5 linked regions of the Nothobranchius furzeri genome follow. The protein of the gene in region 1 purifies or fractionates together with the protein of each later gene. This does not show direct contact. Links are inferred from orthologs where the notes say so. Each region holds a gene or a part of one and is shown in the gene's direction. Other genes may lie near its edges. The genes, in order: tnfaip3, tnfrsf1a, rnf11b, mtor and tnip2.

Region 1 (3,620 bases):
TAGAAGTCTCTTTGTTGATGTAAAGGGCTGTTTAGTTGTAAACTTTAGTGTTTTGTTTTGTTGTTCAACAGACCAGGTGGTTAGGAGCATGAAATCTGGCTCCTCCATCTCTCCTCTGAATGTGGGTGGGATTTACCTGCCTCTTCAGTGGAAGTCCACAGACTGCTACAAATATCCACTAGTGCTCGGCTACGACTCTCAGCACTTTGCACCCCTTATCACCATCAAAGACAGCGGTCCAGGTAGGGCACCGAAAGGGAAACCAGCATGGGATAAAGATCTAGTATGTTTGTATTCTTTTATTTATTTTATTTTATTTTTTGTCTAACATCTCGGTTTGAACTGATCGTCCAGAGATTCGAGCAGTTCCACTAATCAACCCGAAACGAGTGGGCTTCGAGGAGCTGAAGGTTCACTTCCTGATGGAGAAGGAGCAGCCGCAGAAAGAGAGGCTTCTCAACGACTACCTGCACATCATAGAGATCCCTGTTATAGGCCTGGGCCATGACACTACGTGGATCATGAAAGCTGCTCGGTATGCAGAGATTATAAACTTGATTGTTGAGAAAGTTTCTTACTTGTTGGCCAGTAATGTGTCTGAGGATCAAAGGGCTAACAGAACATTGTGACTGTCCAAAGGCTGGACGAGGGAAACCTTCCAGAGGACATGAACCTGATGGAGGACTACCTGCAGCTCGTCAACCACGAGTATCAGCGCTGGCAGGAGGACAAGGAGCAGGCGTGGGCCGCCCAGCCGCAGCGCCCACCACCCTTCTCCGTCTCCCAACTGTCCCTCATAGAGATCCGGTGTGCCACGCCACGATGCACCTTCTACGTCTCTGTGGACACTCAGCCTCATTGCCATGAGTGCTTCGAGAAACGACAAGCCACCACCGGAGGACGAGCGAGGATAGAAGGGGTGGTGCAGACGAAGGGAGCAGGTGTACAGGGAGGAGTAGGGGCAATGGGGGGGTCAGAGGCTGAGGTGAGCTCCAGAGGAGCTCGAAACAGCAGTCCCCCATGCTCCTCCTCTGGACGAGGGGTGGTGTTATCCAGCCCCCGCTCTGCCCCGCCCACCGCTCCCAGCCTCAGCCTTTATAGTGAAACTCACGCCATGAAGTGCAAAACACCCGGCTGCCTCTTCACCCTAAGTGTGGAGCACGACGGACTTTGTGAGCGCTGCTTCAACGCCAGACAGAACCACGGACCCCCTGGAGCTGGAACAGCTGCTACAGGACTCCCAGGCACCAACGGAGCACCAGTCGTTCCCCACCCACCCCAAGGCTCCGGCTGGACCCAGTGGGGAGGCCGCGAGACAGAGACGGAGCGGTGCAGCATGTGCAGACAGGAAGCATTCAGGATATTCAATGGTCTGTGCCCACCCTGCATGCAGAGGCAGCAGGCTCCAGAAAGGGGTGAGCCACAGCAGAGCAACCCCAGGACTGAGGCTTCTGCCTGGAGCCAAACCAGAGACGCTGAGCAGCCGTGCCTCACCCTGACCCCGGGACCCACGTCGGCCTGGCAGACCCCTCTGGCCCGGCCTTGTAAAAGATCTGGCTGCCAGTTCTTTGGGACACCAGAGAAATTGGGTTTCTGCACTATTTGCTATGTAGACTATCAGACCAATCATCGTAAGTCCTGAAACAAAATGAACATGTAGACATTTAAAAATAAATACCTTATCAAACTATAAATGTTGATGAATTATCTGGCTTGTTGCTTATGCTTGTGGCTGTTTATTCCAGACTTGACTCCTCCTCCTGCTCCGGTCCAGAACAGACTTGGTTTGGAGGCAGGTTTCCAGAACGCTACACGCTGTCGAGGGTCTGGATGCGGTGCAGTTGGCAAAGCAATGCTGGAGGGCTACTGTGATAAGTGCTACGTCAAAGAGCAGAGTACACGTCTTAACCAAGTGGCACACAGGACGCCACACTCCCCTCCGCTGGTAGGTTCTTGCTCAAACAGCTGATGTCTTTTTTCCTGTTCAGTAGTTTTCTCACAGTACCCCATATCTAATTCTCAGTTGCTGACTAGTCCTTTTTTTCCCCATTTTCTCTCCCTCTTTCTCTATAAAAAGCGCGACCGGGCAGCTAAACCCAGATCTTCACAGCAATCCCAGACCCAGACTCAGTGTCGACGGAGTGGCTGCAGTAACGTGTCCCCGGGTTGCACTGACCTCTGCCCGGAGTGCCACACGCGTGGCCAGGGCCGAGAGGCCGGCAGACGGGCGCAGGCGCCCAAAGAAAAGTCAAAGCAGAGGTGTCGGACACAGGGCTGTGACCACTATGCCAACCAAGAGAAACAGGGCTACTGCAACGAGTGCCACCACTTCAAACAGATTTACCGTGGCTGATCACCCGCGACGCGGAGCGTTAACGACAACTCATTGGTAGCACGCTAGAGCCGCCGCCCTGCAGCGGGCTCCCCATGCCAGTCAATGCACCTCTGATACTAACTAACCAACTAATTAGCTAGTGACTAACTAGTAACCTTATGGCCTGAAAAATCAACCTCCCCCATGTCGAATGTGAAGCGAGAGTGTGTGTGTACATGGGGGGGCTGGTGAGTGTGTGTGTGTGTGTGTGTTTGCATTAGACATGGCCTCCAGAATACCTCTTTGTGCAATTATTATCATCCGATCCGCCGTGTGCTCTTACACGGTTAGAGGTTTGGCGACATGTCAGAGCAACTGACCTAACTCTTGTGTACAGTACGTATTTAGAGGTACGTCAGGAATCGTGCCGGACAAAATGATTGTATATTGGCGTAACAAGAAGCATACGACATTGCTTTATAGACCACAGCCAAGGATTTTTACCCCGTCCGTCTGTATGTCCTAACCCATCTGTGTATCAGTCTGCCTGTCTGTCTAGCATTCGCTCGATCGAGCGAGGGATGCAGTGAGTGTGGCAAGCCCGGGCAGAAAATCTGTGGAAGTAGTCGGCAAAAGTGAGGCGAACTGAGCCAAAGCAAAGCAAGTCAAATGTTTGAAGTTAGATTTGAAACCATATTGTTTAGCTCAGCTGTTCAAAAAGTCTTTTTTTTTTTTTCAATATTTTTTGGTCCTCTAGATATTGAGACTCTCAAACTGTAATTCTTCCCTTCCCTTGGTTCTTAGTGGTTTTTGTGTGTTTTTCTTAAGCTGATTATTTCTCTTTAAGTTAAATGAAATAGCTACATGTGGGAATTCAAAGCAAAACATGTGACCAAACAGAGACCGACAGGGCGGGACCCTGCTAGTTTTGGTGCTACATGTACAGAAACTCGAGCCTCTCCTTTGTAGCCAACATGCTGGCGTCAGAAGGCAGAGAACACAGTGAGGACAGGACTCTTGCCATCACTCCTCCTCTTCCTTTAATTTCCCCTCTTCTCCAAAAACAGATATGTTGCCTTGGACATTATTTTCATGTTTACTTGCAACTTAAGCACCTAGAAACACTTACAAGACAAACAAATGTAGTGTAGCCGGTCCTGTCAGAAGGGAATTAACAAAAGAAAGACCTTATTAGGGAATGGAAGGTGTGTCAGTTTGGATAATTATTCACCTTCTCACCACACACTCGTTTGCTCCTGCAAACACAGCTCTGTGAGATTATATACCCCCACCCGAGCCCGAGGTG
Region 2 (4,575 bases), on another chromosome or scaffold:
TGAAAAAAATTTTTAAGACGCAAATGCATGTTAGTGGGAAACCCTGCCTTCATTTTCCTGCTCATTGTTTATCGTTACTTTCAGTTCACATTCATCTTTGCCGCTACGCTCAACTTAGTTACACCCAAGTGTCCAGTCGGTGACTACGAAAACAAAGATGGAATATGCTGCAACAAATGTCCTGCAGGTAACCTTTACACGTGACGGGACCTGTAAAGAATGTGAATTCTGACTTTGCGTTTACTTCTGTGGGATCATTTTGTTTTCAGGGTTTAAGCTGGTTGCAGAGTGTCACAGTGAAGGTCACAGAAGTAATTGCACACCCTGTCCTGCTCGGCAGTTCTCCGACCAGATAAACAACGCTTTCCAGTGCAGAAAGTGCAAAACCTGCAGAGGTGTGACTTTAACTTCTCCAGACTTCATTTCTCAGCTTGCACAGCATCAGATTAGCTGTAAAAGCTTTAATTTTGTCAACTTTTCTGCAGCAGCACGAAATGAAGTTGAGGTTTCACCTTGTAGAGCAGCTCAAAACACCATCTGTGGCTGTAAGGTCGGCTATTACAAAAACCACATTGACAGTGAAACGGTTGAGTGCCTCAAGTGTTCGAGATGCAAACCAGATGAAACGGAGGAGCATGCATGTGAGTCTTTAAAGATTCTTCTGTAATAAATTAAACAACCACTCCGTGGTAAAGCCAGTTTTGTTTTCACAGGTACTCGAGAGAGAGACACCGTGTGTGGCTGTAAGGAAAACTTCTACAGAGTCAGAAACAAGTGTGAACCTTGCAGGAAGTGAGTGCATCGCTGTCCGACGAGTCCTTGGTTCTCGTTTTGTTTCCATCTTCGAGTTTGGGAAGGTTTTTTTGTAACATTTTAATTAAGGAAGTTGGTTTGTAGAAATGAAACTTGCAGCTCACTTCCGACTTTGTTCAAGCTTTCCATTTGTTAGCAATACAGGAGAGAAGTTATGACACACACGTCTTGAGACTCGCTAAAAAAAACCTTTCTTATTCGCGTCTACTAAAAGTCTGTTAGCGTATAATGACCTCTCTTATCTTCTCCTAAAATGCTGCGTTGAGTGTTTTTATTTTTGGTTCTTATAGTCGAAGATGTTTGACACAAATCAAACAAGGAAGCACAAAAACTTGCAGCTCAAACTTCCTATATTTCTGTCATGTTTACATCCTGGTTTGCATAAACATAAGAATCTTTCTGAGTTACTGGGACAGTGACTGGTTCAGCTCAACTTTCTGTGTAGTCGAACTTTGAAACCAGAGCTACAGAAAGCTGGAGTTAAAAAAAATACATGTCAGCCTTTGCGTTAATCACTTCCTCTGAAGACATGCTACTTCCTCCTTGGTGCAATGAAACATCCTGTTTATCCTCCACAGTTGTACCACAGGCTGCTCACAACACTGCATGTTGGAAGTGGCGACAGAAGGTGAGCGCCAACCAGGTGACATGACGCACTTGTTTCTTCTCTTGCCATATTTCCGTGTTCACCGTTTGAGTTTTCCATTATTCTTTCAAGACCAAGTTCACTCGGTTTTGAACCACATTTGCAGTGGTCTCTAGAATAAATGAATGCCTTGTGCGTCGAAATCTGTGGGGAAAAAAAAAAGCTCTAGCGCTCCTGTTTCAGAACTGGAAGTTAGCCAGAGCGGAGGTGAGCAGAACACGGCAGGATTTGGAGTCTTATTTCCTGATATTCAGACATCTCCCCTCTGATTGGATAACCGTAATGGGACTCTACCACTGACTCTGTTCTGCAACGCTGATGTTTTATCTCCACAAATAACACAAGCCTCAAGGAGTTCTGCTGGGTGGTGGAGTTGCTAATGCTAAAGGTTAGCTTCTGCTAGTTGAGACATTCTCTACTGTTTCCTGGATGTTAAAACCACAAAACCCTTTCCGTCACGAGTCAAGATGGGTGAGTCCATGAATGTCAAGTGACAGTGTGACATAGATCAGTCAGGATTTTCAAATTCTAGCAATTCACCATCAGAAGCTAATGCAGGAGATAGGTGTAGGAGCCTATCAGCGTGCACGGTAAACTCACAGTGACTGATTATATTTCATTTTTTACAAGTTGAAAACGGCTACACGGTGGTGCACTGGTTAGCATTGATGCCTTGCATCGGGTCAGAAAAAGCCACACAGATCTATCACCCAATAATTTTTATTTTTCAACTTTATTTTCATTTATTGACAATAAAAGAAAAATACAAAACTAAATTGCTAACAGCCAAAATGAAAAAGGGGACAGAAAGAAGAAAAACATATGTTACCTGCCACTTTAAACTAAAATAACATTAATACAAATGAAACTATCATATGATTCTTAAAAAATTTGAACAATATCGTTTCTGGACTGGTTGGCCGACACAACCTCAACCCATGAATTGAAAAAAAAAAAGAGAAAACAAGTTACACAGAAAGAAGCATAAAGTTATATACCTATATACATACATATATACACATATGCATACATACACTTGTTTCCTTTTCCCTCTATTTATTTTTTTTCTTTCATCCCCCCCCCCCAACCCCCCTCCCCTCACGCGTTTATGTAACAGGTCTATATAAGTTAATAATTTCATTTTTTTATCTCTTTTTTGAAAGTCAATATTGTTTTTGCATTCTTGATTTCAGTATTTAATTTATTCCACATTTAACTCCATATATGGGCACACAATGTTCCTTTATGAGTATCCTATGTCTAGGTATATTAAATAATTCATGTCCTTTTAAATGATATTTGCTATGTCTTTTTGTAAATCTGTTGATTAAACCTGCAGGTGTGTACCCTGTGTTTGCATTATACATACATTTTCAAATATTGTAGTCCACCAGATCACAGAATTTTAGTGTTTTTAATTTTATAAATAATGGATTGGACGGATCTCTGTAGTTGCATTAATCGGCTCACCCATCTTGGCTCGTGACGCGGAAGGCAGATTATTTTTTTTTTTGCAGCCATGAAAAAGCAGAGCACATCTCAACTAGTAGAAGCTAACTGATAGCATTAGCTTTTCCCCAGCATGGCAAAACTCCTTCAGGCTTGTTTATTTGTAAAACATCAGAGCAAATGGAGGCAGTGAAAGACTCTCTTTGCTGTTAGCCAATCAGAGGCGAGACGTCTGAATATTGTGAATATTAATGAGGAAGGCTCCAAATCCTGCCGTTTTCTGCCCCTCTCTACTTCCTGAAACAGTTGCGCCAGAGCTTTTGTTCCACAGAGAATGATTGACAAGGCGTTTATTTATACTAAGGTCCACTGCACACTTATTGCAATAATGGGTGAATGAGACATTCAAGAGAGCAAAACACTTAACACTAACCTATGAATCACTGAGACAGTCTCCTGAACCTGATGATGATTCATCGTTGTGTCAACACAAATCAGCTCGGCACAGATCCTGTTTTAAATTGTACGTTTAAGCTCTTTGTTACTTTAGTCTTGTGAAAATGAGGGAACATGTTTCCAATTCTTTAGCTGAGTGCATGGCAAAAACCTGAGGCGACACATAAAATAATATCTTAGCATTGTCAAGCTAGTTTTCTAAGAGATATTGGCTGAAAACCTGAAAATCTGCTTGAGGATTATGAATTTTCAGGTCCTGTTTTTGGAACTTTGCTGGATTTTTTTATTCTTTTTCCCTCCGATAGATTTATTCTTTAGACCTGACACTTCTTCTTTTGCCCTCCGCTCGTGCAATTCCCTTATGTTATAAGCATAGACCACAAAATAAACCGTCACGGTCAGGAACAAAACACGATTCAACGTTTAGAAAGCCTGAAGACTGGCCAAGAACATTTTAAAGGATCACATTCAGGTTTGGTTATTGGTGCTTTAAAACTTTTGCAGTGTGTTTGTAATGTTCTGTTTTATAATATGCATTTATTTTGTTTTTCCATCCAGGCCCTGAGCCCAAAAATCACCTGCTAATAAATCTAGTTGCTGGATCAGTAGTTGTGGTGCTAGTCTTGCTGGCGTTGGTGGTTCTGGTCACCTTCTTGGCTACAAAACGGTTCACCAAGAAGAAGATGCCGACTCTGTCCTCCCAGACTTCTGAAGTTTCCGTGGAATCCGGAAAGGTATCTTCACCCAACAGTCTGAGGTTCTCTTGATCGGTCTGATGAACGCTTGCGGTCAGTCATGTGTTTTCTACTCTCGTCTCCAAGCATCTCCTGATCTACGCTGAGGGACCTCCGCAGAGCATCTGTTTGAAAGCAGCCGCTCAAAACCCAGTGGGTGAGCTGGAGCTGTCCAAGCTGCCTGACTGCGTCCCCCTAGAGATTAAGAGTGAGTTGATAGCAGTCTGCTCTGACTTCGACATGCAGAAACCCACAATGTGAACTCTGACCGTGCTCTCCTCTTCTGCAGTCCCAGAGCTGATCTACGCAGTGCTAGATCTGGTTCCCGTTCTGCAGGTGAAGCAGCTGGTGCGATGTCTCGGTGTGAAGGACACGGAGATCGAACGAGCCGAGATGGACCACAGGTCTTGTCGGGAGGCTCACTACCAGATGCTACGAGTTTGGGCCCAGAAGGGCTCCCAGGAACTCGGAGGGGGG
Region 3 (5,365 bases), on another chromosome or scaffold:
TCTGATCAAGTACGACCACTACCTGGTTCCTAACGCTCTGCTGGAACATGGGCTTCTGTGTCTGGAGCAAGGCAGAAAAGATGAAGCTATTAAACTACTAGAAGCAGCAAAGTAAGCATTCAACTCTCAAAACATACATTTGTAAAAATCACATTTACTTTTTCAGTGAAAGACCTGATTACTGCTTTAATGGATTCAACAGCTAAATCCTCTCTGATTTTCAGACACAACTATAAAAACTACTCCATGGAATCACGGACGCACTTCCGTATTCAGGCTGCTTTGCACAAGGCCAAGGGAACCGGGGAGAATGGCATCCTCGTGCCCTCTAGCCCATAACAGAAGTCACACCAGTAAAGTGACAGCTTCCTGTCTCTGCTTACCCACAATGCAACATGCCAGACCAGCTCTACTCTTTAGAACTAAGAACTTTTTTAAATTCTAGATGAAGATGGAGTGTTTTTTCCTCAGTTGTGCCCTTGTTATGGACCTCTGCAGCTTTGTGTGCCTTTGCTGGCCTTGTTCACTTTGCCACGCCCTCTTCCAGAGACACATTACAGTTAGTCACTTTCTCACACATATTTTTTTTAACAAATTGAGTGGAGAAATGTGTGTTCATGTGTTTATGAAACACTGCTTCCAGCATGCCTTTTGTCTCTTTCACACTGGTTGCATTTGAGCAGAAACAAGGTTAAATTTTTGTGACATATTCAGTGCTTTGTCCCAAGTGATATGCTCAGTGCTGGGTACTAGACCTGAACCTGGTGGAGTTAAATAAAGCCTCAGATACATGACACACGAACAGCAGCACTATTTAAGTACCGGGTATAAACCTGTTCCACTGTAATGTTAATGTAGGTTTTGGAAATGTCTCACTTTCCAAAACCAGCTTGTTCTGTTTTAATTCAGAATGTGGGATCATGTGTTTACACTACATGATTGTTGTGTTTGTCAGAATCGAGGGAGCATCTTACTGAATATAACCCTGTATTCACAGCTTATGTTTTGGTTTTTGCACCGAGCTTTGTGTATCGCCCATGAAACTGTCAACTCTTGGATGTCAAACGGCCTGGGAGAGTTGGTCTTTACATTTATTTACTGTAAATGGCATCTTTTACATGAATTGTCCTGTTTTGAGAGGACAGATGAATGTGTCTTTTAGAAAAGGCAGACTCCCTCCTTTTCTCCTCCTGGTGTGTGGGACGGGCTCCAGCAATACTTGAGCTTGAACAAACAGGCCATTCACAGCAAGCGGCGTAGGACTGCGAGCTTGACTGCCGGCTGTATCTTTAGTGGGTGAAGAAACTCTTAACCCCCAGCAGCCATCAAGTTTTCACAGCTTGTGTAGACTTCAGTCGACTTCTTTTGCTGTTTCTCTACCTGCTATCCTGTTGCTAGAGCTACCAACAGAAGGACTTGAATGTAAAACCACATCCTGTGTCAAATAGTTATCTGCAGATGAACAAATACAGCTTTCCTCATAAACGATTGGCGAGTGGGTGATTGAAAAGGCTGAGCACCTGAAACCTGACAGTTCAGAGAACTCACATGGTGCCTCAAGAGTTGGGATACAAGTCCTGCTGATTTATTTATAACTGAGAGAGGTCTGGGGTACAGTTTAATTGTCTGAAGTCAGTGTCTAATATTTATTGGTGGAGGAAATGTATTATTAGAATTGTTGCAACTGCAGCGACTCTAGAATGTGTTGATTCTGCAAACTAATCATAATTTTCCCCATCCTTTTAGCTTTTACACTTGTATAAATGGAAGAAATTCAGCATTCAAAATTTTGTGTTTACACGTTCTGTATTGTGTATTGGGCATGGTTACCCACCAAGCAGGATGACTTCCATTTACATTTTAGTTGTGATTTATAATGAAATATATACTTTTGTGTTGTATTCTTTCCTTTCCACGTCATTTAAGTTCAATAATTTTTCAGCACACAGAACAAAAATGACACAGGTTGTTTGCATTAATTTGGTTTTGGATTCTAATTTAACAAATGAAAAAATGGCTTTGCAGACCAGAGGCCGCCATGGAACACATCTCATTAAACCGAGAGCTTCAATAACACAACTGATGAATGGTTTTATCATATAAAACTCAGAGGACAATTCCGATCTGCAAAGAAATCGTTCTTTTGGTAGGAACATGACTCATTTGCAGATTAACGTTGTGTGTTTACGTTTTCAATGTAAGGCAACGTGACCAACCATCTGATTGGCTGTCAACAAGAACTTCGTGAACGAAACTGAAAGCTGATTGGTCAGTTGTTTAAAGGAGCCGTCCCCCACGTTGTACGTCACCCAGCTTTTGTCATTGTTCAGCAGCTGCTTTGGAAAGTCCCTGGCAGCTAGATCGGACTCAGGCTGGAGAACCGTGGAAAGCTGTGTCACGTTAAATGAAGAAAGCAGTTATTTTGCTCGCTTTCTTCCTTCTGCTGATATAAAATTATGTTAAAGCCGCGATTCTGCGCCCAGACGTTTAGATGTTCCCCTCAGAGTGCTAGCTAGTGTTAGCAGGCTAGCTTTTTGTGTGGCTAGCTGCTGGTCTTAGTGATGTTTTGTTTTTGTTGAAGTAGCCAGCCCTCCCGTCGTCTGGGAGAGGAGCTTCATCAGCTGTGAATGGAAAAACGTCCTCTCGACGTCTTCTTATTTACTGACATTTTCTGTGGAAGTGAGCAGTGAAATCCGCTGCTGGTAGAGCGACGCGGTTAGAAGGTAGAGTTTGATAGAAGAGGAGGGAGATGGGAAACTGTTTAAAATCTCCGACCTCGGATGATATTTCTCTGCTACACGAATCGCAGTCGGACCGAGCCAGCTATGGAGACGGTGCTGACCCAGATCAGGAGCCACCGCCCCCCTATCAGGTATCTATTGACATCATAACTAAACTAGCTGTTGTGGTTTGATTCATTAAAACTAAACTTCACACACTGTGTGTTGTTTAGACATTTTGGTCCTCTTTACAATTTGTTTGCATTGTCTGCCTGATGACAAAGTCAGAAAATAAATGTTGGACGAACATTTTGAGAACCGGAATCAGCTGTATACAGATTATCTGACATCGTCCGTAGACAGTAACCCTACCCACTGACTCAGTCCTTTCATGATACTGTAAATAATCCTCTTTCTTACATCTTAAGGTCATTCTCTGTGCATAATATCTTCACTGTAATTTCTGCAGCACTGGTGTCTTAAATATCACCTGGAGAGTGAATTCATTCAAACTCACTAAACCCTGTGGTTTGGGTTGATGATGTGAAGGAAAAAGAAGCAAACATCTGTTATGAGCTGAAAATGACAACACAAGCTTTAATTCTCAGTCTTGAAACAGGCTGTAGCGTGTGTGTATTTTAAGAAAAGGCTGACTTCTCTCCTGCTTCTCTGACTGAACACCTTCAGGCAGCAACTTTGTTCTTGTCTGTTGTCCTTACTCCCTAAATTAGATCATCCAAACATAGACCAGGTCATGTCGTAACTGTAAATATTAGATTTGCTGTAAAGTATTGTGTGTGTGTGTTATTTTAGGACACTGGTTTAGAATGCTTGTTTCTAGGTCAAGTGAGGTCTTATCTGTAGGCTTTAAGATTGGAATTGTTAAAGCTCAAGAGAATAAATGCAGTGTCAGAACAACAAATGCTTTCATGGAGAAAAGTGACACAATCCTGTTGTTTTCATTCAAAATAAACAAATTCTATTAATTTAAGGGATTGGTTTGCAGTAGTTATTAAAAGAAAAGGACAAACTTTTATGTTACATTAAACTATAGAGAATAATAATAAATGGATCACAAAAATGTAATGATATCCAAATAAGTGAGCCATCTTGTGTGTGTGCGCATCCTGATACACTGATTAAATAATATGCAAACTGCATCTTCTCACTGTGTACACTATCACTGATACATTTGACCTTTATGAACAATAAATGCTGATTTGATTTGTCATCATTGCAAGTCATCCTTAGACTAGTATTAAACTACTCTAGGGGGGTCCATGGGCATGCCCCCGGTAGAAAACATTGGACATTTTATAGTGAAAAGCATCAGTTTGGTGCATTTTGAGTAACAGGCTGGTGAGAATGTATGATAAAGTATCTATACATGTTCACAGCATTATTATGTTATGTTTGAATGAGCCTATGTTGTAAGTAAATACATATCTTGGTAAGTTTACTCAAAGTTCCCAGATGTGTTCTTCCTCCGTCTATTGTATCAAGGATACATTAATGCATCTTTCTGCGGACTTGAGACAGCAAAATATGCTATACTGCACTGCCGTTTCTTGTTTTGCATACTCGTCTGAACTTGTGTACTCCCATCCTTGTGAAACGTCATCAGTGATGGCCCAAGTACAATTCCAATCCTAAGAACTCCTGTATGCAAGTACACAAGAGTTCCCGGATGTGTTCTTGCTCTGCCCATTGTATCGAGGATGCATCAAAGCTTCCTTCTGCGGACTTGGGACAACAAAGTATTGCTTAATGCATTGCGTTGCAAACCATTACACACAAACAACAGAGGAGAAAGCTTATAACTGTAGTGTATCAGAAATACAAATAAAGAAAAAAATATAGAGTTGTCTGTTATTGTAAATAATTGTGTGTAACCTGTAAAACTCGCAGTGTGAATTTTTTTATTTTCCAGACTCTTCATAATGTCTTAAAATGCAAATTAGGTGACCAACTATTAAAATAAAAGTAGCGTTGCCCAAAATAGCTCTGTTTAGATGAAAAAGAAACTTTTTTTCTTCATTTAACAATTGGGAAAGTAGGTATTTTATGTTTTTGATCAAAAGTGGACCAAGTGTTATACAAATATAATGTATTTATTGTTATTTTGTGTTTTAGAGAGAAACTAGACTTCCATTTTTATGTCCGGTTGTTTTTGTCATGACACAACGGAGTACGGTTCTGTTCCAAATGCCATCCTCATCCTCCCGTACTCAGTAGAACAGATTTTCAGGTGTGCTTGCCAAGAATATACTTGTCAAGTACACAAGAACATACCAGCATACTTGAATATTGAGAAACTGCCATTGTTTACTGCCAGAATTTCACAGAGTGATTGACATTGATCATTCTCTTATCATCTTTTATCTTTCTCACGGTCTTGCTCTGGGGCATTTTTATTTTGCTATTTTGAATAGAAATGTAGCATGCCATAGCGCTGGAATGACCACTTCACGTTTATTTGGGAGATTTTTTTTTTACCAGCAAATTTTCTGAACTTCATATAATAAGCTTTTATCACTTTTTGACTCTCAGAACAATGCATCAGAGGTTCTTAATGTCACATTTTATCGTCTTACAAAGGTGAAGATAATTAGCTCATTCAGCTGTGGTGTCTGAGAGGAGATGGT
Region 4 (4,575 bases), on another chromosome or scaffold:
GACAGTTTTCATGGACCTGAACAGGGTATGTCCTGACAAATGGCCTGGTTGAGGCAGGACTTGGGCTTAACTCGGGCTGATTGGTTGTAATTCAATGGGAAATGATGTCAGCAGATGTTGCAAAACAACTGAAAATTGTAAAAGTGCAAGATTTGCTGCTGAAGCACTACGGAAGAAAAACAAAACAAGTAGCCTTTGCGCTGCTTTTAAATGACCATTTTTAAAACGCCCAGTGCCCAAAAATTTGGCTGAATTCCCTCCACACCGCTGTGATTTATGCTCCTTTATGGTCAGAGAGCACCGTAAAAAACTGACTCTTCTGGTCATTGAACGCAACATTTTACATCAAACAGCTGCTGTCCTCGGACCCTGAAGTGATTTGATTGCAGCAAAATAAAACTTTTATTGTCATTAATGTCCGTGGACTCCTTTAAGCACTGATGAGTGACATCACTCACGGCCAAAACGTGGTGATATGCTGATGTTTTAGCAAAGTCCTGAAAGGGACGATTCAGTAAGGAGACACAACGGCTGAGAGGACAGAGCCATCGTATTTTTCATCATCTTCTTCCCTCCAAGAAACTTCCCGGGCCTCCTTGAGTGGAAACACGGAAAAGCAGCACCTGGAACCCTTTGCTGCTGATTATGGAGCAACTGGCCTTGTCTTTAAGCTAGGGCTGAGTGATATGGACTACAACTTATATCTCCATGTATTTTAGCTGAATTTGCCAGTGTTGAGCTTTTAGAAAAGGGAAGTTAAGATTCTGAAGTGCACGTCCCTCAGCCCTGGTCCTGAGGTCCCCAAACCAGATCCTGGAAAAGCAACAGAAAGCAGCTCCAGTTTTTATTCAGATACTCGTTTATTGACTGGACGTCTTTTCTCCTGCAGGTGTGGTTCGACAGGAGGACTAACTACACCCGCTCCCTGGCTGTGATGTCTATGGTGGGCTACATTCTGGGCCTGGGTGACAGGTGGGGTCCTCGCCCCTAAAATTCAGACTTCCTTTATCTTTAAAATCGATTTTCTAGCATAATTGAGGATTTTTTTGTTTTGTTCCCAGGCATCCATCCAACTTGATGTTGGACCGTTTAAGCGGCAAAATTCTTCACATTGACTTTGGAGACTGTTTTGAAGTGAGAAGATTTCCTTTTGCTGCTTCATTACAAAATGATGTAAATAATGTAACTTATTATAAATCAACATTAAACAGGTGGCCATGACCAGGGAGAAGTTCCCTGAAAAGATCCCATTCAGACTTACCAGGATGCTGACCAACGCGATGGAGGTACAAGACTCGTGTTAATGATGCTGTTCTTTTATATATAAAGTGGGTGTTTCAGCTTTGGAGAGAACTTGAGTCATCTCTCAAGACAACAGGAGCTTTTTAGGCTTCAAACAACGACTCTGGTGAGTTTGAAGCGGCTGATTTTGTGTCTGTTGTGTCTCAGGTGACAGGTTTGGACGGGAACTACAGGATCACCTGCCACACAGTGATGGAGGTGCTGAGGGAGCACAGGGACAGCGTCATGGCTGTTCTGGAGGCTTTTGTTTACGACCCCCTGCTCAACTGGAGGCTCATGGACAGTAAGCACCTGGTTGAGCTTCATTTTACACTCAGACATAATTTAGATTCTTTTCTTTGGGTCGATCTGAAGTTACAGACTTAAAGAGGAAAAGTCTCAAAGCCGCTGATGCAGCGGTGCATCGTAGACCTTGTGTGACCAGCTACAGAAAAATGCAAAAGAGCAGCTGTTTGAATCGATACAGAATTATAAAAACATCTATGATGTCATCTCCCTTGGGTGCAGGAACAAAAAAATATAAAAAGTATATTTGAGAGAATCTTGAACATGGATCATGGAAAAGTTCAAGTGGATCAGAGGTGCATGCGGCATCGCTTAGTCTGAAATTGAATGGCCCTCTAGAAGATACATGATCTGAAAGCACACGCGTGGGCTGTGATGGAGACAACATTTGAAACTCTTTGACTCATTTTTTTCACTTAAAGCCCCAGTGTGGAATATTTTTACTTGTTTACTATCAAATTCTGTTTATCCGTTCACAAATTTTTCATCAACATTTTTCACCAACGTCTATTCTAAGTACTCCTATTGGCTTCAAATGTAACCGTGTTATTTACATAAACTGTGGTTGATGCTCCATTGTCATGCACCATCTGGTATCTGTTTGGGGACATGCAACATATCGGGATGGCACCGGTTATCTCTACGGGTTCTCTGCCCCGCGCTGACTGCATTTGACACACCTGCCTCTCAGCTTTATATTACTCAACACTTACTTAATTCAAATTTAAATAAAATGCAAAAGTTAATCGCAGAATTGAAAGCTGGAAGCCGTCGATGACATATAGCCTTTTTGATGCGTGTGGGCTAGCATAACTGCAATAACTATTTTAAGCTTCTCGGTGCTAAAGAGTCAAGTATTTTCAGACACTAGGGCTTTAAAGCGAGCATAGATGCCCGTTGGGCATGAGGTGAGAAGGTCCTTCATCCAGAAAGAGCTGCTCCTAACCCTAACCTTGGATAAGTGACAGAAACGGCAGGAAAATGCCACCTGAAGGACAATTTTTTTATATATTTATTTTTTGCTTTAAGGTAAGTTTTTTGAAAAGACTTAACATTCAGTTTACTTTTAAAGAGCTACTTCCAGTTGGATGTTTCAAGATTTTCAAAATTAGGCAATAATAATCAAAAGAAAACCAACTTTTTTCTCTTTCCTTCACTCACAGCAAACACTAAAGGCAACAAGCGATCCCGTACCAGAACAGACTCGTACACCGCCGGGCAGTCAGTGGGTCAGTACACCACCAACTGCATTCATAACCACTTCCTGATTTTAGCACAAAAACAAGTTGAAACATTTGAACGTGTCGTGTCGACTGCAGAGGCTCTGGATGGGATTGACCTCGGAGAGACCACGCACAAGAAAGCAGGGACCACCGTGCCTGAATCCATCCACTCCTTCAGTCAGTTTCCTTTTGCTTCTGAAGCTCTTGAGTCTGATCTGATCTGCAGCTCCTTTGGTGTTTACTCTGGCATGTTCCTGTTTTAAAGTTGGAGATGGTCTGGTGCAGCCTGAAGCGCTCAACAAAAAAGCTATTCAGATCATCAACAGAGTTCGGGACAAACTTACAGGTGAGTGATGAAAGACGCCACTTGATAAACTGAAGTAACAGAATTCAGTTTTCCTTCCAAATGTACAATACTCATAAGGAAACCAGGAAATGTCCTAGTGTTTTAGGGTCAAGATGATGGCAAATTAAATAAATATGCATAAAATGTCTCCTAAGCGCTCGTGATTTTTATCCTGAGAGGCGCTATAGAAATGATATTTTCTTCTTCTTCTTCTTATTTTACTCAAAATGTCTCAAATGTCTGAACTGAAAATCTGTAAATTTGCCTTTGAAGAAATTTATGAGTTTCTAATTAATTTGAAATAAAAAAGTGAGAAACTTTGAATTTGATGGTGTTGATTAAAGGTCTGGTCTACTGAGAAACTGTTATTTTTTTTAAATAAGATCGGTGACTCTGGGTTGCACATGCATGGTGAAAACTTCCTTCATCCCCCATCGCCTGTGTTAGCCGCAGAAAGGAATTAGGTGGGAAATCGGCTGGTTTGGTTGGTTAGTATTCATGGCCCCGCCCACCTTGGATTGTGACTAGCCGTGGAAACGAGAGCAGAGCACATCTCAGCTTGTAGAATGGTAAATGGCGTGTATTTGATATAGCGCCTTCTAGAGTCCTGGAACCCCCCAAGGCGCTTTACAACACAATCAGTCATTCACCCATTCACACACACATTCACACACACATTCATACACTGGTGGGGATGAGCTACAATGTAGCCACAGCTGCCCTGGGGCGCACTGACAGAGGCGAGGCTGCCGAGCACTGGCGCCACCGGCCCCTCCGACCACCACCAGCAGGCAAGGTGGGTTAAGTGTCTTGCCCAAGGACACGACGACAGCAACAGACTGAGTGGGGCTTGAACCTGCAACCTTCCGATTATGAGGCGAGCGCTTAACTCCTGTGCCACCGTCGCCCAAGAAGCTAACTCTTACCATTAGCAACTCCACAACATAGTGGAACACGTTCAGGATTGTGTTGTGTGTGGAGACAAAACATCAATGATGCATTTTTTTACATAAAAAAGGACTTCGAACGGAGGCAGTGGAAGAGTCTTGTTGCTTAGCCAATCAGAGGTGAGACATTTGCGTATCATGAACATTAATGAGCACGGTGCATACTCCTGTCGATCTCCACCCCGCTCTTTTTGCTAACATCAACTTCCTGAAACAAGCGCCACAGAAAACTACTCAGTCATTCATACTAGAGATCAGAGCAGGTTTATGGAAAATACGAGTGAATGGAACCTTTAAAAAACTATTTAAAGCTCCAAGTCTTCTAAAGCTTCCTGAAAATGTTTCCAGGTCGAGACTTTTCTCACGAAGAGACGCTGGATGTGCCAACACAAGTGGAGCTCCTCATCAAACAAGCCACCTCACACGAAAACCTGTGTCAGTGCTACATCGGCTGGTCGGTACTCATCCCCGC
Region 5 (5,017 bases), on another chromosome or scaffold:
ACCCTAACCCTTGCTTTAGACCAGCAAGTAAATTTCAGTAGCAAAGATGACCCGCATAAATACAAAAAGCTATTTTTTAAAAATGTGTTTAAAGAGAACCAAAACCTATTCTAACCAACCTTGTTTATGTGAAAATGTAATGGACCTTTGGAGTTTTCCCATCATTAGCTCCTTTTGTAGGGTCACAGGTCAGATTTTCTCCTTTAGGATTTTCTAGTAGAGAGCAGAATTCATGGTTTCCACAATTACAGCAAGTCATCTAGGTCTTGAAGAAGCAAAGCAGTCCCAGACCATCATGCTACCTCTACCATGCTTGACTGTTGGTACTGTGATCTAACAGAAATCAGGCCTGGGTGCAGCTAGTGAATATGAACTCAGCTTTCCAAATAAAGTAGTTAATACATTTTTTTTCATGATCAGAACCAAGTTGGTTTGGATAGCTTTAATAAAAAAAAACTATTCATTTGAAGCTGCATTTTGTATTTACTCAAGTTTGTCTGATATTTAAAAATTTAGGTGTGAAAATAAAAGTGAAAGCAGAATAAATCTGAAATGGGGTAGATTTTTTTTGGCCACAGAAATTTACATTGCGTTTCCTGTAAAGATTAGATCAAACTCGCTATCATAAGAAATGCCTAACAAAAAAAGAGCATGTTTACTGATCTTTCATTATTCAAATAATGTCAGTGCATCAGAAACATGAGGTCATATGAAAGTAATCTCACTGATAACACGTTGCAAAGATTGGTCATGTGTTGGTAGTGCAGTTATGCTTGGATTCCATGTGATGATGAGGTTGGTTTATTAGTGGAACAGGTTTAGTGCTGTAAGAAAGCAGTAATGAACCATACGACCATTAAAAAAAAGACCATACAAAACTCATGTATCAATTTTCTGGTTTAGCCTAAATGGAATTACTCAGATAATAATAATAATAATAATAATAATAATAATAATAATAATAATAATAATAATAATAATAATAATAATGAGCTAAAAAGTATCAAATGCAGTGGGGGAAATTCACATGGACAAAATAATGGACTGTGAGGGGAATTCATATACTGAATCATCTGATGTGATTGGTAGGGACGGGATGTTTGGTAACTGGGAAACTGTACTTGTTAGCATCTATTTGTGTTGCCATATACTTTCAGGTGAAAGCCACCACCCAAATACTGGGTTCACAAAAAATGTAACTTAGATTAGCATTTTTTGTGACTCACGTGAATAATATTCGAAATGTGTAGAGTGGGGATTGTTCTATCAGGTGAACTCGTTTGGTTTGTGCTGAATGTTCTCGAATTTACGACGGCAGTGAATGCAGCAGTGATATCAATTTTCTGGTTGCCTAACTAGCCGACGCTAGCTAGCTGAAGACAGCAAGAAAGGGGAATCGTTTTGTGTTTTTGTACAAACAGCCAGTGAATTTGTGCCAACAGCCTGACAAGCCTCCACTTTTTTTTACCAACGGATCTCGGCAGTGAGTCTTTGAAAGCCAGGCTCCGTTTTGACGACGCTCAGAAAAGTCCGCGGGGAAGTTCCCTAGGAAATCCCCCAAGAGCGTCCGGGGATATTCTCGACACTGATGCGCCAGATCTCCTCCAGAATTCACCTTCTCGGTGTGTTTCTGAAAGACTCAGAGTAAGAGGCAGAGGCGTCAAATGCTGGATTATTAAAAGACTGAAACCGTTTTTCGCGAAATCTACAAATTTTAAGCATTGCGATTGCGATGGATAGCTCGAGTAGTTTGAAGGCGGAGAACGAGGCGCAGCCGAAGGACAAAATGCGGAGCTACAGCGTGTTAAACACTTTGTTTCACGAGACGAGGCAGGAAATCGAGCTTCTCAACAAACAGATCTGCGTAAAGGACAATATAATCGCAGATTTAAAGTCCAGGGTCGGGAGGCATGAGAGGATCTGCATGACGATGGGAGACGACGAGCGGGTGTTCCTCGGTCCCTCCAAGTCTTTGGTGGAGAGTTTACTGAAGGAGCTGTGCAAAATAAAACAGAAGAAAGATGATCTGGAGCTCAAGGCATCCTGTCAAGCAGAGGTAAAAAACCAGCAGCTCCAAAGGAAGCTTCAAATATGTAAAAAGCATGATTTATTTCTGTCATTTTCAGGAAAAAAGTTGGTTTCTCATACTTTCTTCTTTGTGTCCCCCAAACTAGGAGATCCAGAGGTTGAACCTGCAGCTCAGAGAGAAAGATCTGGAGCTGGAGAGCATCAGGTGTCAGCCGGACCACGACAAGGACCAGGAGATCCACAGGCTGAGGACAGCCCTGGAGGAGAAGCAGCGGGCCGAAGCCACCAGGACCGTGCTCTGCACGTCGCTGGCCGAAGAAGCTGACCAGCTGCGGGGTCAGCTCAGCGCCACAGTGAGGGTGTGCCAGGAGCTGCTGGGCAGGCTGGAGAAGAAGGGAGGAGACGGAGAAGAAGTGGAGGAAGTGTCCCAGCAGCAAAAAGTACAATTTCATCTTATTTTATAATATTTTTGCTCAATATATATATATATAAACAATATAAAAAATCAATGCCTTCTTTGCTCTTTTTGAGTTATTTATTAACCCCTTTTTGACTTTTTATTCCAGACGCCCAGCTCTTCTGACCTAAGTGCTGCCAAATCCCAAATTCATCAGCTTCAAGAGGAGAACCAACAGCTGAAGCAGCGCGTAGCTTATGTGCGTTTGTATTTTTGATTTCAACAGATTTCCCCCTATATTTCAGTGCAAAATTTTACTTCCAACCAAATCTGTTATCAGCTGCACACACAATTTCTAATGCTGAGCTTTGCTTCTTATTTATTTCCATTGTTTAGGTACAGAGTTTGAATTCTCAGTGGCAGAAGTATGACTCAAGCAGGGAGGACTACATCCGAGGGTTGTGTCAGAGGCTGAAGGAGAACACCGGGCAGGGCTCCGTCAGCTCAGTGTTGCTTCATCAGGAGATCGCCAGGCTCAACACTTTACTGGAGGAGAAAATAAGAGACTGTTCAAGGTTGGAGAGAGAGGTGGAGGAGATAAGGAGGCAAGGCCAAGAGCGAATCCAGACCTTGGAGCAGCAGGTTGGTATTAATGTAATATTAGCACATTTAAAGTGATCGTAATCGTTTTGTGAATTTTCAAAGTTGTTTTGTTTTCCCCGTAAGGTTTTGATTTATACAGACGACTTTAAATCAGAGCGAGCCGACAGAGCGCGTGCACAGGGTCAGATCGCAGACCTGAAGGAGCAGATTTCTCAGCTGAAGCAGCAGATCCACAAACAGGTGAGGTGTCAGATCGTCATTTAGATGCTTCTGTACAAGCATCCACTCATTTTTTTACTTATTACAGCCACGTGGCTTGACAAGGTGTTTGTAAATCTCTGCAGGGAGCAGGCAGAGACCTGGGTTCTGTGTGCCGTGTTCACATAGGACACAGGATCTCCTCGAGGCGAAGTAAGGACTCCTCAGAGCCTCTGCTAAGGGCTGCTGCTGAAAGGCCGCCGCCGCCTGCAGTGGACGCTGCTGCTGCAAACGTAACAAATTGGAACGAACTCCCAGGTCTGTCGGAACTACAGTGTCCGCACTGCTCCGCCAGGTTCAACGACACAGAAGCTGCAGAGTGCATGAACCATTTTGAAGAGTGCGCCCGGCTATAAACGAAAACCAGTTTTTGATTCTCTACTGAACACTGTAAAGCAGCACTACAATGCAGGAAGCAACCTGGGTGGAGGTTCAGATTAAATAACTGACATCTTGAGATGTGAACATAACCCCAAACTTTCCATTTTGCAAGAGAAAATGAGTTCATGGTTTTAGATCTGTACAAACACCCAGACAGAGTTGTCCCATGGCACTGCAGGAGATTACTGTGTTGGGGAGAGAAGATGCCAATGCAGTTTTTAAAATGTTATATACCTCAATGTCAAATTACAATCTTTTTGCACTTTTTTGTTATTTAGCCCAAAAAAAAACCATTGTGTTATCATAATGCGATTAAAATATTATTGATGCATAAGCTTCTTACTTTGGGTTTATACCTAATTGTTTATGTGGTGCTATTGTTAGTGTTTCTTTAAGTAAATATATTCTTTTAATGACAGATTTAAAAAGTCTAACTATATTAATATTTATTTGTATTTCTCATTGGAAAAGAGTGATTGTTTCAGTGCAATGTCTTGTTTTTATATCCAACTTAAGCCATAAATGTTGTGTAAACATGTATTTTTAAATACATGACAGGCAGAAATAAATATTTCAATCATTTTTAAAGCAGTATATGTAAATAATGCATCCAAACTGACATAAAATCATTTTTAAAGACTTAGTTTTTTTCCTGTAGATGTTATTTTTGTAATAAAACATGTTGTTTCCTATAAATATGATCTATTGAAATGTAGCTTTTGATTGTGTGGTGCATTTTTCATCTGAGAGATAAATCTGCAGCACGTAGCTTCAACCACAGATCGTGATCCGACCACAAAAACGTTGGTGCTACTTCATCTAAGTTTGTGTGCATGTGTTTTAAGCATGTCACGTGTGTGTGTGTGTGTGTGTTTGCTCGGTGGAAAGCCCCATCCCAGTGTTGCCTGATTAGGCACGCTGCACTGTGACAGCTAGATTCCCAGCTGTTGTGTTGCAAAGGTGCAGAGAGGAACAGCTAAAGTTAAACCCAAACCTCAATGACTGTTCTGTAGATAAGTGGGTGAATACAACACCGTCCAGTTTAGCTGCTGAAAGTATCGCTTTGAGGCATCTATAGTTCAGTTTGGTGAATCAGTTGTCATGGGTTTTGTGTTGTAAGCACAGGAAGCTGGACATCCCCTACTTGAAAAAGGAAGTATGCAGTTGCACTGCATGGCAGAGACTAACAACTATAATATTTTTGTGAGTGTATATGTGTAATTATGTATCTGCTGATTTCAGGTCAGATAAGACATTTATAGTAATAAATGTAGAAAACCAGGTCACTTTTTTATAAAGCCGAACATTCATGAGCTACGTAACAAACTATTGCTTAATTCTGTAATTTTT

What was found.
Region 2: the proteins of tnfaip3 (region 1) and tnfrsf1a purify together in Homo sapiens (affinity purification with western blotting; 7 studies listed by BioGRID, with this or other methods). This does not show direct contact. The link is inferred for Nothobranchius furzeri from reciprocal best matches to the Homo sapiens genes TNFAIP3 and TNFRSF1A.
Region 3: the proteins of tnfaip3 (region 1) and rnf11b purify together in Homo sapiens (affinity purification with western blotting; 3 studies listed by BioGRID and IntAct, with this or other methods). This does not show direct contact. The link is inferred for Nothobranchius furzeri from reciprocal best matches to the Homo sapiens genes TNFAIP3 and RNF11.
Region 4: the proteins of tnfaip3 (region 1) and mtor purify together in Homo sapiens (affinity purification with western blotting, with the first as the bait; 3 studies listed by BioGRID). This does not show direct contact. The link is inferred for Nothobranchius furzeri from reciprocal best matches to the Homo sapiens genes TNFAIP3 and MTOR.
Region 5: the proteins of tnfaip3 (region 1) and tnip2 purify together in Homo sapiens (affinity purification with western blotting; 5 studies listed by BioGRID and IntAct, with this or other methods). This does not show direct contact. The link is inferred for Nothobranchius furzeri from reciprocal best matches to the Homo sapiens genes TNFAIP3 and TNIP2.

The regions. Positions count from the first base shown.
Region 1 is NC_091752.1:25,124,540-25,128,159, reverse strand, and holds the end of tnfaip3 (tumor necrosis factor alpha-induced protein 3), read left to right. Parts: intron 1-71; coding exon 72-242; intron 243-354; coding exon 355-535; intron 536-639; coding exon 640-1,631; intron 1,632-1,745; coding exon 1,746-1,945; intron 1,946-2,077; coding exon 2,078-2,353; 3' UTR 2,354-2,492; downstream 2,493-3,620. UniProt on the Homo sapiens protein: Ubiquitin-editing enzyme that contains both ubiquitin ligase and deubiquitinase activities.
Region 2 is NC_091745.1:73,837,967-73,842,541, forward strand, and holds part of tnfrsf1a (tumor necrosis factor receptor superfamily member 1A), read left to right. Parts: intron 1-84; coding exon 85-187; intron 188-269; coding exon 270-395; intron 396-485; coding exon 486-641; intron 642-713; coding exon 714-792; intron 793-1,391; coding exon 1,392-1,456; intron 1,457-3,922; coding exon 3,923-4,098; intron 4,099-4,185; coding exon 4,186-4,306; intron 4,307-4,387; coding exon 4,388-4,575.
Region 3 is NC_091748.1:56,841,945-56,847,309, reverse strand, and holds the start of rnf11b (RING finger protein 11b), read left to right. Parts: upstream 1-2,118; 5' UTR 2,119-2,749; coding exon 2,750-2,872; intron 2,873-5,365. Other genes in the region: ttc39a (tetratricopeptide repeat protein 39A), read left to right, coding at 1-111, 225-339. UniProt on the Homo sapiens protein: Essential component of a ubiquitin-editing protein complex, comprising also TNFAIP3, ITCH and TAX1BP1, that ensures the transient nature of inflammatory signaling pathways. Promotes the association of TNFAIP3 to RIPK1 after TNF stimulation.
Region 4 is NC_091755.1:52,420,872-52,425,446, reverse strand, and holds part of mtor (serine/threonine-protein kinase mTOR), read left to right. Parts: intron 1-889; coding exon 890-972; intron 973-1,061; coding exon 1,062-1,134; intron 1,135-1,211; coding exon 1,212-1,286; intron 1,287-1,449; coding exon 1,450-1,585; intron 1,586-2,750; coding exon 2,751-2,816; intron 2,817-2,906; coding exon 2,907-2,987; intron 2,988-3,075; coding exon 3,076-3,156; intron 3,157-4,451; coding exon 4,452-4,557; intron 4,558-4,575. UniProt on the Homo sapiens protein: Serine/threonine protein kinase which is a central regulator of cellular metabolism, growth and survival in response to hormones, growth factors, nutrients, energy and stress signals.
Region 5 is NC_091744.1:17,107,427-17,112,443, reverse strand, and holds tnip2 (TNFAIP3-interacting protein 2), read left to right. Parts: upstream 1-1,529; 5' UTR 1,530-1,732; coding exon 1,733-2,056; intron 2,057-2,174; coding exon 2,175-2,468; intron 2,469-2,594; coding exon 2,595-2,684; intron 2,685-2,821; coding exon 2,822-3,067; intron 3,068-3,151; coding exon 3,152-3,268; intron 3,269-3,372; coding exon 3,373-3,642; 3' UTR 3,643-4,382; downstream 4,383-5,017. UniProt on the Homo sapiens protein: Inhibits NF-kappa-B activation by blocking the interaction of RIPK1 with its downstream effector NEMO/IKBKG.